2 linked regions of the Drosophila melanogaster genome follow. The protein of the gene in region 2 interacts with the protein of the main gene of each other region in a pairwise test. Each region holds a gene or a part of one and is shown on either strand. Other genes may lie near its edges.

Region 1 (4,603 bases), on a different chromosome or scaffold from region 2:
CTATTAGCTCGGTGTTGCCCAAATGACCAAACTGAAGGCGCTCGACGACAAATCCCATTTGCTCCGTGTGCGAGAAGGCGGATATTAAATTGGCATCGTAAACTCGGTAATGCTCCATTAAACCAAGAAGAACTGGCTGCATAAATAAGAATCTTAAAAAATGTACTAATAAATTTAATTTTGTAGGGCTTACGTCGGCCGATCGCTCGTCAATGGTGGTAATCCAGGCCTGTGAAGTCCCCGTCCAAATGAGCTTATGGTCGAAGAGACGTTGGCGAGAGTCCGCCGCTTCCTCTAAAGTGGGCAAAGTGAGGATGGCCGCCAGACCGCCACTGTACACAGTGGTCAATATAATGTCGATCATGTAGCTGGCCACTAGGACGGTTCTTAGAGCATACGAGCTGGTCACATAATTGGTGCTCTGATTTACGAAAAGTTTCAGCGTACTGATGCAACCGAAGCGCAGACTACTGATCCAGGAATTGCCTGCCGCAACCGACGAGTGTTCCCAGCGACGGGTTATACCAAGAGCTAAGCTCTCGAGCAGAAGGCAGAGCATCACGCACATCCAGAGGACAAACTGGAATGGTCGGAGCAGGAGCGTCCAGCTGATTAAACGGTTCGGAGCGGGCACCAGACAGGTTACTCCAGATCGTCCCAGAAAATGAGTCATGTCCATATACTCGTACGCCTCGTACCTAGAAAGCGATGGAATGGTTTACTTTTCAAAATGTTTGATTGATTAATCAAGAGTTTTACCACAAATACATGCCCCCTACTCCGTAATCGTTTCGTCTATCGAGGATCATTCCAACCAGACCATAGCCCGAGGCATTCAAGTAGATGTCACCCCAGTCGTATGGTTCAGCTGTGGATTGCCTTGACAATAAGCTTTAGTTGAATGTATTTAATTACCTACATGTGTCCACCTGAATGGTGCAGTTGTACAACTCGCAGAAAATGAGCATTAGTTGAATATCTGTTCCATCAATGGTTACATCCGTCGTGTTCATAAAACGATCATAATATAATGGTGGCTTTTCCTAACTCACATAACTGGAATTACTGCGATATATTCTGGTAGCGAAAACTTATTAAAACTCACATAATCCAATAGCATAAAAGGCTTGTAGTCGAAGATGCCTATGACTACCTCGCGTCCCTTGAGGTTTCGCATCTTGCTGGACATTGCACTCTGGGTTTCCCAAGTAGCTTTCGTACCCTTGGCATCGAAACGCTGGAGTATGTAAAACTCAACAGGCTCCGGGTTTTTGTTAAAGTTTCGCGGACCGACAAATCGGTTCGTTTTAATTTCAAAAGTGCTTGAGTTCAGGTATTGTGAAGTAATTACCAAGATGTTAGGTTGATCTAGCAATTCAAATGGTGAGCATGTGTAATTATTTCAATTCACTGCACTTATCCTACCTTGGAATATATAACCGGACAGATAACTATCTTTTTTGTCCTCAAACTCTTTAGTGTAAACGAACATAAAACGATTTCGCAGAGATCTCCAAATGGAGTAGATGCTGGCGTGATAAAAATATCTGGCGAATTCGGGAATCTGCTCCTGAAATGCTATGAAGGTCTTACATACAAAAGTAAAATAATTAAATTTATTAATTACAAATTTAAAAAAAAAAGGGAATAACCAAAAAGTCTTCAAACTTAAAATTTAACATCAGCTGCTCCGTTATGTTATCGATAGCAGATTTATTACGATATAAGCCGCATAAAAACGGGAAATATCGTATTATCAACTTGGAAACAGTTGAACTGCAAAATAGTTTCAGGACAATGGACAAACTGGGATTAGGCTGCCCCTTCTCCTTCCTGGTCGGAAGACCGCAGAGTATGAGTGGGGGACCCGGTTTCCTGGATCTCAACTACGACTGCTACCATCAGATATTTTCATATATAAATGTGCTGGAGGACCAGCTAAATCTGGGCCGGGCCCATCCACTATTCCAGGTTGTACTGACGGACATTTTGCGAACGCGCCACAAAAAAATCAATGTGCGGCTTCTGAAAACCATTCCGGACTGGGAGTTCCTGCTGCAGCTGTGCGGTTCCGAAGTGTCCAGGTGCGAAGTGCCCCATGGTAGCTGGGATGAGCCGTTTACCTACCCCTTTCTGGGGCTCCTGGGACGGCACTGCCCCAAACTGCGACAGGCAGTCATCATATTTATGCACGCCGTTACAGAGTCGCCGCCGAAAAGTGGGGACAGGGGCCACATCATGCAGCTCCTCCTGGAGCTACCCAGTCTAACCAATCTCACTCTGATCGATGCCAGATCTGCACAGCGTGAGTACGAAAACCACGAGCGCTTCATATTAATTGTTTCATACCACTCACACTTTTATCGTTTAACTCTGGTCAATATTTTAACTTGAAAAAGATATTGCTTAATCTAAAATTACTTTAGATTATTTTCCCTAAACTTCATTCGAGTCGGTGAATAGAATCCTTTTTATAAGCTTAATATATATCTGAATTACTATTGCAGTAGATCAATTGCGGCACTTCAGTAAACTGGAGGCCTTGGACTTGGATGGAATCGACCCAAACCTCAGCAACGCCTCCTTCCAACAAATGTTTGAAAGTATGGCTTCCCTGAAGCGACTGCTTCTCAATTTCGGACCGGATCGCAGGAGATCTCACCAGGTCCCGTTGTTGGCAGATAAGTTTCCCAACTTGGATCACCTTACTCTCGAAAACTTTGATATGAGCTTCCCGGAGTTGGGTGAATTTAAAGGTCTCCGATCCCTGCGCCTAATCTCACGTTGGACAGCAGAAGTGGACAACGACTTTTATAGGTCGGTGGCCAAAAGAGTTAGTAACCTCCAAAAGCTACAGCTCATATCCGTCCGCGTTAGAGGTGACCAAGTGCATCACATCCTGGCGATTAGGCAACTCAACGCTCTGGACTGTGATAACTGGCCAGCTCAATCGGTGTCCCAGTTGGGCCAGTTGAAAGATCTCGAGTGCCTGGCCCTGGATTGCATTGACTCACCTGCAAACCCAAGTCGCCAACTTATGTTGCTAGTACAAAATTGCTATAACCTAAATCATCTGAGATTGGGAAAACATTGGAAGATGCCTATCGAGGATGTAAATCAATTTTTGGACAATGTGGCTGATGCAGGAGCGGATCGGAAAGACCGGCTTTTGCTAACGCTCGATTTCATTAAGACACCGGATACTCGGAAAAAGGTATAATTTAATGGATACACAATTATTTGGAACAACCAAAATTTACCAAAAACCCTTCAGTTCACAGATAAGTTCAGGAATGATAAACACTTGCAAGTGAGTTTTGATGGAGCCACATGTCATCACTGTCAGCGGGATACCTACTCTAAGTGTGATACTATCTTTGACTAGTTTTACTTTAGCAAAAGACTCACCTCACAGTGCGACCTTTCGATGGCAACAGTCAGTCTAAGAGTCCAATCGTTGTAGGGGATTCCCTTCCCCTCGAACTCATCCTCCTTTATTTTGTAATCATAAACATCTTGATCGGAACGATTGGCCCATCTGTGCCAGTCCATGATTATTAATGGCATTGGATGAACCGTTTCCAGACGAAAATCAAACGCCGGGTGCCAAAAAATACAAGTGGCATGCGAGTCCGCGAAGAACTGCTGAGCTAACTATATTTTTTAAAAGGTTGTCCATGCTGAACAAAAGGACAACATACCAAAAAAACTAAGCACAGTGCTAAAGTAATATGACTCTACCAGCAAGTTTTCCATTTCACAGATTTTTTCCCTTGAAGTGTGCCTGAGGAATTTATATTATTTTCTGTGTGTATTATTATTATACATATACATTCTGTTTTTGTATATATATATATAGTGCTTGGTAGCTCACCCTGTGATGCACCCGACTAACAAAACTCCGCCGACGCAAAATGACCGACGCGAATGGAAGAATATTTCATTTTATATAAGGAAAAAGATTGCATACGCTACTAATACGTTTTCCATGAATTATGTACATATTTAACAAATTAGGAGCATGCACCGGTAACCAATAAAAGGCCTTGTAAATCTGTTAAAATATTTATTGTTATAAATACGTTTAACAAGTACGGTAAATAATAAACAAATAAAATGTCCATATTAAATAATTTTAAAATTACAATCTAAGCATAACCGGGCGTGGAAAACAGAGGAATAGCGTAATTATAAAGACCTAGGCATTTGTAATTCTTTTGAATAGCAAACGGGTATTCATTTGCTGAAAATCCACACCACGTTCGTGCCACTTATTATGTACTTCACTACTATCCTAAGCCTTCACGCTGCCAATGCCGTTGCCCAGCGACTTCATCAGCTGGTAGCACTCCTTGAGCTTTCGCTTGTCGCCCACCTTCTCCAGGGTCTTGGCCGCCTCGGCTAACATGCCAGCACGTTCACCCGGGGAGCTGAGCAGCGCAGGCGGGAGATACTTGCAGGCCACGTACATGGCCGAAGCCCGTTCCCGCTCTCCGCCCACGAAGTTCTGCTGCCGCCGATCCTTGCTGCCGCAGAAGATGGACGAGTGGGCGTTGCGTGATCGCAGACTCCTGTCCAAGAGCTGTTGCGTTGGACACGGTGA
Region 2 (5,396 bases):
TAAATTGGATTTAACTCATCGGTCGCCTATATATATATATATATAGAAATTAAATTGTGTAATTATTGATGTAGTTATTGATGGTCACCGTCGTTGCCATGATTGTAGAAGAGTACACAAAATACTTGAATGATATTCGAATTAACCCACTCACCGAGCTGTAAATTTCCGTTTGATATGCAAAACGTTTTTTATGCTTTGTTCGCATATGTTGATCATGATCGAGTATGAAAATGGAAGTAGTTGAAAGTCCAAAGACGCGTTAAATAAACCCAAAACACTCACATGAACTAGCCAATTCTTAAATAAAATTGACTTTTATTTTAATTATAGTGTGTTTCAGCCTAAATTCAAACCACGATGCCTCCAAATTTAAAACATTATCTGATGGGTGTTGCATATATCAACTTTTAAGCTTTCTAGACAGTAGCTAGAGTAACAAAACTCTATTCAGCTCAAATTTAATGCTCTCAACACCCAGTCGAAAAATAATATACATTGCTTTTCCGTGGTTTATAGTATTATGTAACTAGTTTATTGCCAAAATGTTACGAACTAAGCAAACACATATTGAAAGTATTTACAAGCATAAAGTTAAGCTAATGTCAATGTAGGATGCGAATGTCAGTGTAGTATTGAAATGGGGCCAATCACCACTGGGCAGGGCCAAGCTGGCTCCACTCCTCCACATACTGGGCCTGCTGCTCCAGAGCGGGGAACCACTCGACGCCACCGTAGTCGATCGCGGGCAGAGTACCCTTGTAGTTGGCGGGCAGGACGGAGGGGTCGAGGAACTTCTGCAACGACTTCATGTCACTGCCGTGGAAGTGCATCTGTTGGAAGAAAATTATTCAATGATATATTGTTATTAATATTCATTTAAAAGGAGGGGGAAATCAGTTATGTCTAATTAATATGGTTTATATAACTTGGTTATAATTGTAAGAATCAGGTATTTTACGTTACTGATAAGATTCATTCTTCCAATGAAGAGAAATTGTAGCCTACTTTTGAGGGCAGAAGGACAAGGTAGGAGTAAGTACACGTTTTACTTACCCTATTGTTCAGCTTTTGTTTGACGAAGGGCTTGAAGAGCGACCAAACCATGTTGAAGATGAACGGCTGCTTCACGAAGTGCACCTCCTTCATGCGAAGGGGCATCGCCTCCTGGATGAATGTGAGCAATCGCTTGGAGAAGCTCGGCGACAGGGCCTTCACCTGTTTCATCGACAGTCCCTCGAAGTCCATGATGCAGACCACGCCCCGCACCTGGGTCTCCTCCTCCAGCTGGGCGGCGAGATGTACCATGTAGAGCATGCGGAACATCTCATCGCTGGTAATATCGCTGGGATCCCAGAGTTTGCCACAGTTCACGATGAGCACACGACGACCCTTCTGGTCGCAGTTCTTGAGCACATTGATCACACTGCCCTTCACGAATTTCTCCTTAACCTGCTCGACCAGGAGTCCGCGGACCAGAGAGGCGTACTCCTTGCGGAAGCTGGCTGTGGTTTTCATCTGAAAGTCATTTTCAAATTAGTCAAGAGCTTAGCAAACTTAAATTTATGTATTTTATGTGAGGATAAAAAATTTTAGTCTAGGCAACCAACTTAATTTAGCTTATTATGCTACTCGTGTAGCTAATTGAAAACTTTATATTTTTAATATTTTTATAGGGTACACATTATAAACAGAGGAATTGCCTCTATAAATCTTTGAACCGATGACGCTAACTTCTTACGGAACTAGTCATTGTAACTTCATCTGTTGGCAGGTGTGACATGGCTAGATTAGAGTCCATAATTGATAAGGTATTGACCATTGGCCAGAACTATAAAATGCCCATATAAGTTATGCGGCTTCCTATGATGATAAATTTAAAAATGGCGAACATTCGATTTTTATGACCCGATTCAGTCATTCTGCTAAAAAGTCATTGAACACTCTACATGCATAAAGTGAATCCGAATCGGATCGAAATCGACCACGCTTATCAGGGTTTTCTTTGCCGGTCAGCGAGTTCAGAAGCAATAAGTTATCAGCAGACGGGAACTGTAAATGATCCTGTTGTTGGGTTTCATTTCAGATCGTATGTTGCTTCTTTTACAATATCCCATATATTACTTTAGCTAGACTATAAATGAGGTGGCCATTTTCTGGGCAAGTTTTTATGCAACCGCTTAATCATATATTATTATGTAAGAGATATGTAGATAAGGCCATGGTTATAAGCTGATGCAACTTTCTAAACTTGGGGCAAAAATGCTTTTCTTGTAGCTCTTATGCATATACAATATTATTCCCCCACTATCTAGTGCACTTGTTTGAACTTCGGTTATAGACCCCATTTCAATAGCTCTGGTTGACCGATGTTTGCTGGCGATAAGGCGTGTTCGAGAAGTTCTATACATTTGATAATCCCTCAAATGTTGAAACAAATAGACGGAGACACTTGTGTTGCCGGCGTTGATAAGCAAAAAGCCATTGAATTGTGTTTCTAAGGCGGTCAATTCATAATATACATATATATACTATGTATGCTTGCGATTTGATTGAAGCTTCAGATGATTTTCAGAGTGATGTGTAATGTTAAGCGATTATTAGTATTATGAATTGAATATTGCTGGAACAATTTAGATATTCCTTAAACTATGTTCCTTTTTTTATCATCATTGGATTCTGGACTATGTTTAAATAACTTTAAATTTGTAATTTATATATATTAAGAACTTAACGTTTGGTTATATTGCATTATGTATTAGGGAAGTTAAATGATTCAAAACATGACATTTTATGATATTTATTAATGGTGAAGTTAAAATGAAAAGTGAAGGGCACACGAAACTGAGACACTTGCATTGCTGACTTAACATTGCATTATCAGTGGCTCGCGATATGCTTTCATGGTACGCACCTTTTCCAGAGCTCCTTCGGGATAAAAGTGGCAGGCGCGCAGGAAAACTGTGAGGAAAGCGTCGTCATCCTTGTAGTTCAGCTCGGGCGTGGCCTTGAGCAGTTCCCGTAGCTTGATGATGGCCTCCGCCTTGACTTCTTCGGTTTCGCGGAGTTCCACACGGGCGATTTCCACGGTCTCCGGCTTCAGATAGCCCAGGCGCAAGTGAAAGGCCTCCTCGGCGATATCGGTGGCAGCCATTATGTCGCTTGGTTTTTGTTTTTATGTGTCGGGGCCTGCGTGTTGGATTCGAGAAATGCGTTCTGTGTTAGTTTTTCCTAATCCACTGATTGCCAGCGCAAATTGCAACTTAATATGAGGTAATTTGGCACCAGCACTTTCGGATCGATTTGTTTAAACAATCTTGCCCGATCATTTGGGTTAGAAATTGGTTGGTTTTTTTTTTTCTTTTCTTTGTACTTGTATTTACCTAAGGCGAAGTCAAACGATTTTCACTTATTGAGGGTTTTTCAGCGTTCTTTAGTTTTGCTTCCTCGCGACTCGTGCGATTCGAGTCAACTGAAATTCGGTTCGCCTTTGGAAACCCTTGTGAGTTAACTTCTATATTATATATCAGCCGAACGACAGCTTCGACGTCGACGTCGATGATAAAGCACGCCGTGGCAGAGGCGATCGCAGTCGTCTTGGCTCGACTTCCATTTTCGTTCCTTATCTTTTAGACAAATGGCGCTGAGCGAAATACATATAATAACAACAATAATCAGAAAAAAAGGTCACCAATCCGGCTGTCAATCACCTAACGCCTTTAACCCTCCGGCATCTGCATTGAACCCTCTAGGCCTGAAATCCGACTTTCGACTCCGTTTAAAATTTTGGGTAATTTCGTCATTGATCGTGATGTTTACACGCGCCCGGCGTCATGAACCTTAGTTTAAATTACCTTTACCTCGAACTTACCCTTGCTACACTCCACTTTGCAAACTCAGCGTCTGGGGCACGTAATAAAAAAGACAAATTTGTACAAAAAAAGCATAAATATCAATTAGCAACGAAAAAAAAAAAATGGTTGAACCAGCCTATTGACAGCGGAAACAGCGCACTGTTTTATAGTGCCTCTCATAATACCTGTAAGGCATTAAGATAATGCGAATAATATTGCTTTGAGATACCCTATAGCTAGTACAGCTAGTTCAACTGCTGGAATATAAGATAACTATATAATATATAACCTTTTATGTTGTATGCCGGCTTGAAATTATATCGGGTGGTTTTTAGTTATTTAGTACTAATCAATACTCAAATATTGTAAGATATATTATTAAGACGTTGAATGTCTGACTCTACATCAACCATATTAACCCTAAATGGTACTATTTTTTACAGGGTATGCAAACTACTTTCGACTAAAGTCCAACGCGGAATTCTTGAGTGATAACAGCTCCCCAAAAATATTCTGCTTCCAGGGCTATTATCGAATGTTTCATGTTCTAATGGAAAAAGAAGTCCCAACCATTCTAATCACAGCTCATAATCCTTATCACTGGCAGCGTTGCTAGCACCGATAGTCTTTCTCTTTCGGTTTGTTTTACTGAGAAATATTGCTTTTATTGCCAAATCCACGGCGGGTGGTGGTAGGTAGGTAGGTGGTGGTGGGTGGTGGGGGCTGGATCTTCGTCTTTTCACACCTTCGGGCCATTGAATCGGTTCGCTGATCGCGAATATCGAGCCGTTATCATTGTTAGCCGCTTTTGTTGCTGCATTCCATATTGTTATTATTGGTACGTGATCGGGTCTTTGTTTTGAAATTCATGTTCCAAACACAAAACCCCTTTGGTAATATCCACTTATACATACGTGTTCTTACAAATTCAAGTACAGTGAACGCTCGAGAACAAGAAAATATTTTTATTTCTTTGTTATATAATATTAAAATGACAATATATATCAATTAAATCAAAACCAAAATTGTTAAAAAATATGTATACAATTTTAATGAAAACCTTTATGCTGGGACTAGTTCGTGGTTTTGGTAAAACACTGTATCTACAACTGCCATATAGTGTAGTCATAGGGCAAAGTCTTCACTTCTGATACGATTTGTTGTCGAAGCTCAACCCGCTACTATTTTCGCTGTTGTTTCTTTGTTTTCGATTTGTTATTGTTTTCACTTATTTGTTACTAAGTTATTGATACTGCCATTGGTGCTGCATCAGCTGGTTTATTAAGCTTCTGTTTTGCGTTTTGTTGATGAGCATTTAAATGCGTTCAAAAGATTGAGATACTTGTTTGGAGTGTGCAGGTTCGATTGACACTTTTATTTGCCCACGAAAAACATTGAAAAGATTCCATCAACAAACTTATCTCGAGTTCTGCGGCTGTAAGGAAATAGCTTATATTGAATTTTATACAGTGACAGGGCATTATTAAGTAAAGAATATAAAATGCAGATAAATATATATATTTTTTAGGATTATGTTTTTGT

The links. The genes of interacting proteins can lie anywhere in the genome.
Region 1: the proteins of CG5958 (region 2) and CG14102 interact in a two-hybrid assay, tested with the Drosophila melanogaster proteins (one large-scale study listed by BioGRID).

The regions. Positions count from the first base shown.
Region 1 is NT_037436.4:19,798,431-19,803,033, reverse strand, and holds CG14102 (uncharacterized protein), read left to right. Parts: upstream 1-1,742; 5' UTR 1,743-1,797; coding exon 1,798-2,305; intron 2,306-2,507; coding exon 2,508-3,214; intron 3,215-3,274; coding exon 3,275-3,385; 3' UTR 3,386-3,408; coding exon of another isoform or gene 3,409-3,650; 3' UTR 3,651-3,701; coding exon of another isoform or gene 3,702-3,756; 3' UTR 3,757-4,059; downstream 4,060-4,603. Other genes in the region: Ir76a (ionotropic receptor 76a), read right to left, coding at 1-136, 194-698, 760-868, 920-1,043, 1,106-1,368, 1,426-1,588, 3,409-3,650, 3,702-3,756; SREBP (sterol regulatory element binding protein), read right to left, coding at 4,295-4,603.
Region 2 is NT_033779.5:7,430,023-7,435,418, forward strand, and holds CG5958 (uncharacterized protein), read right to left. Parts: upstream 3,495-5,396; 5' UTR 3,384-3,494; intron 3,190-3,383; 5' UTR 3,155-3,189; coding exon 2,915-3,154; intron 1,519-2,914; coding exon 1,057-1,518; intron 834-1,056; coding exon 651-833; 3' UTR 508-650; downstream 1-507.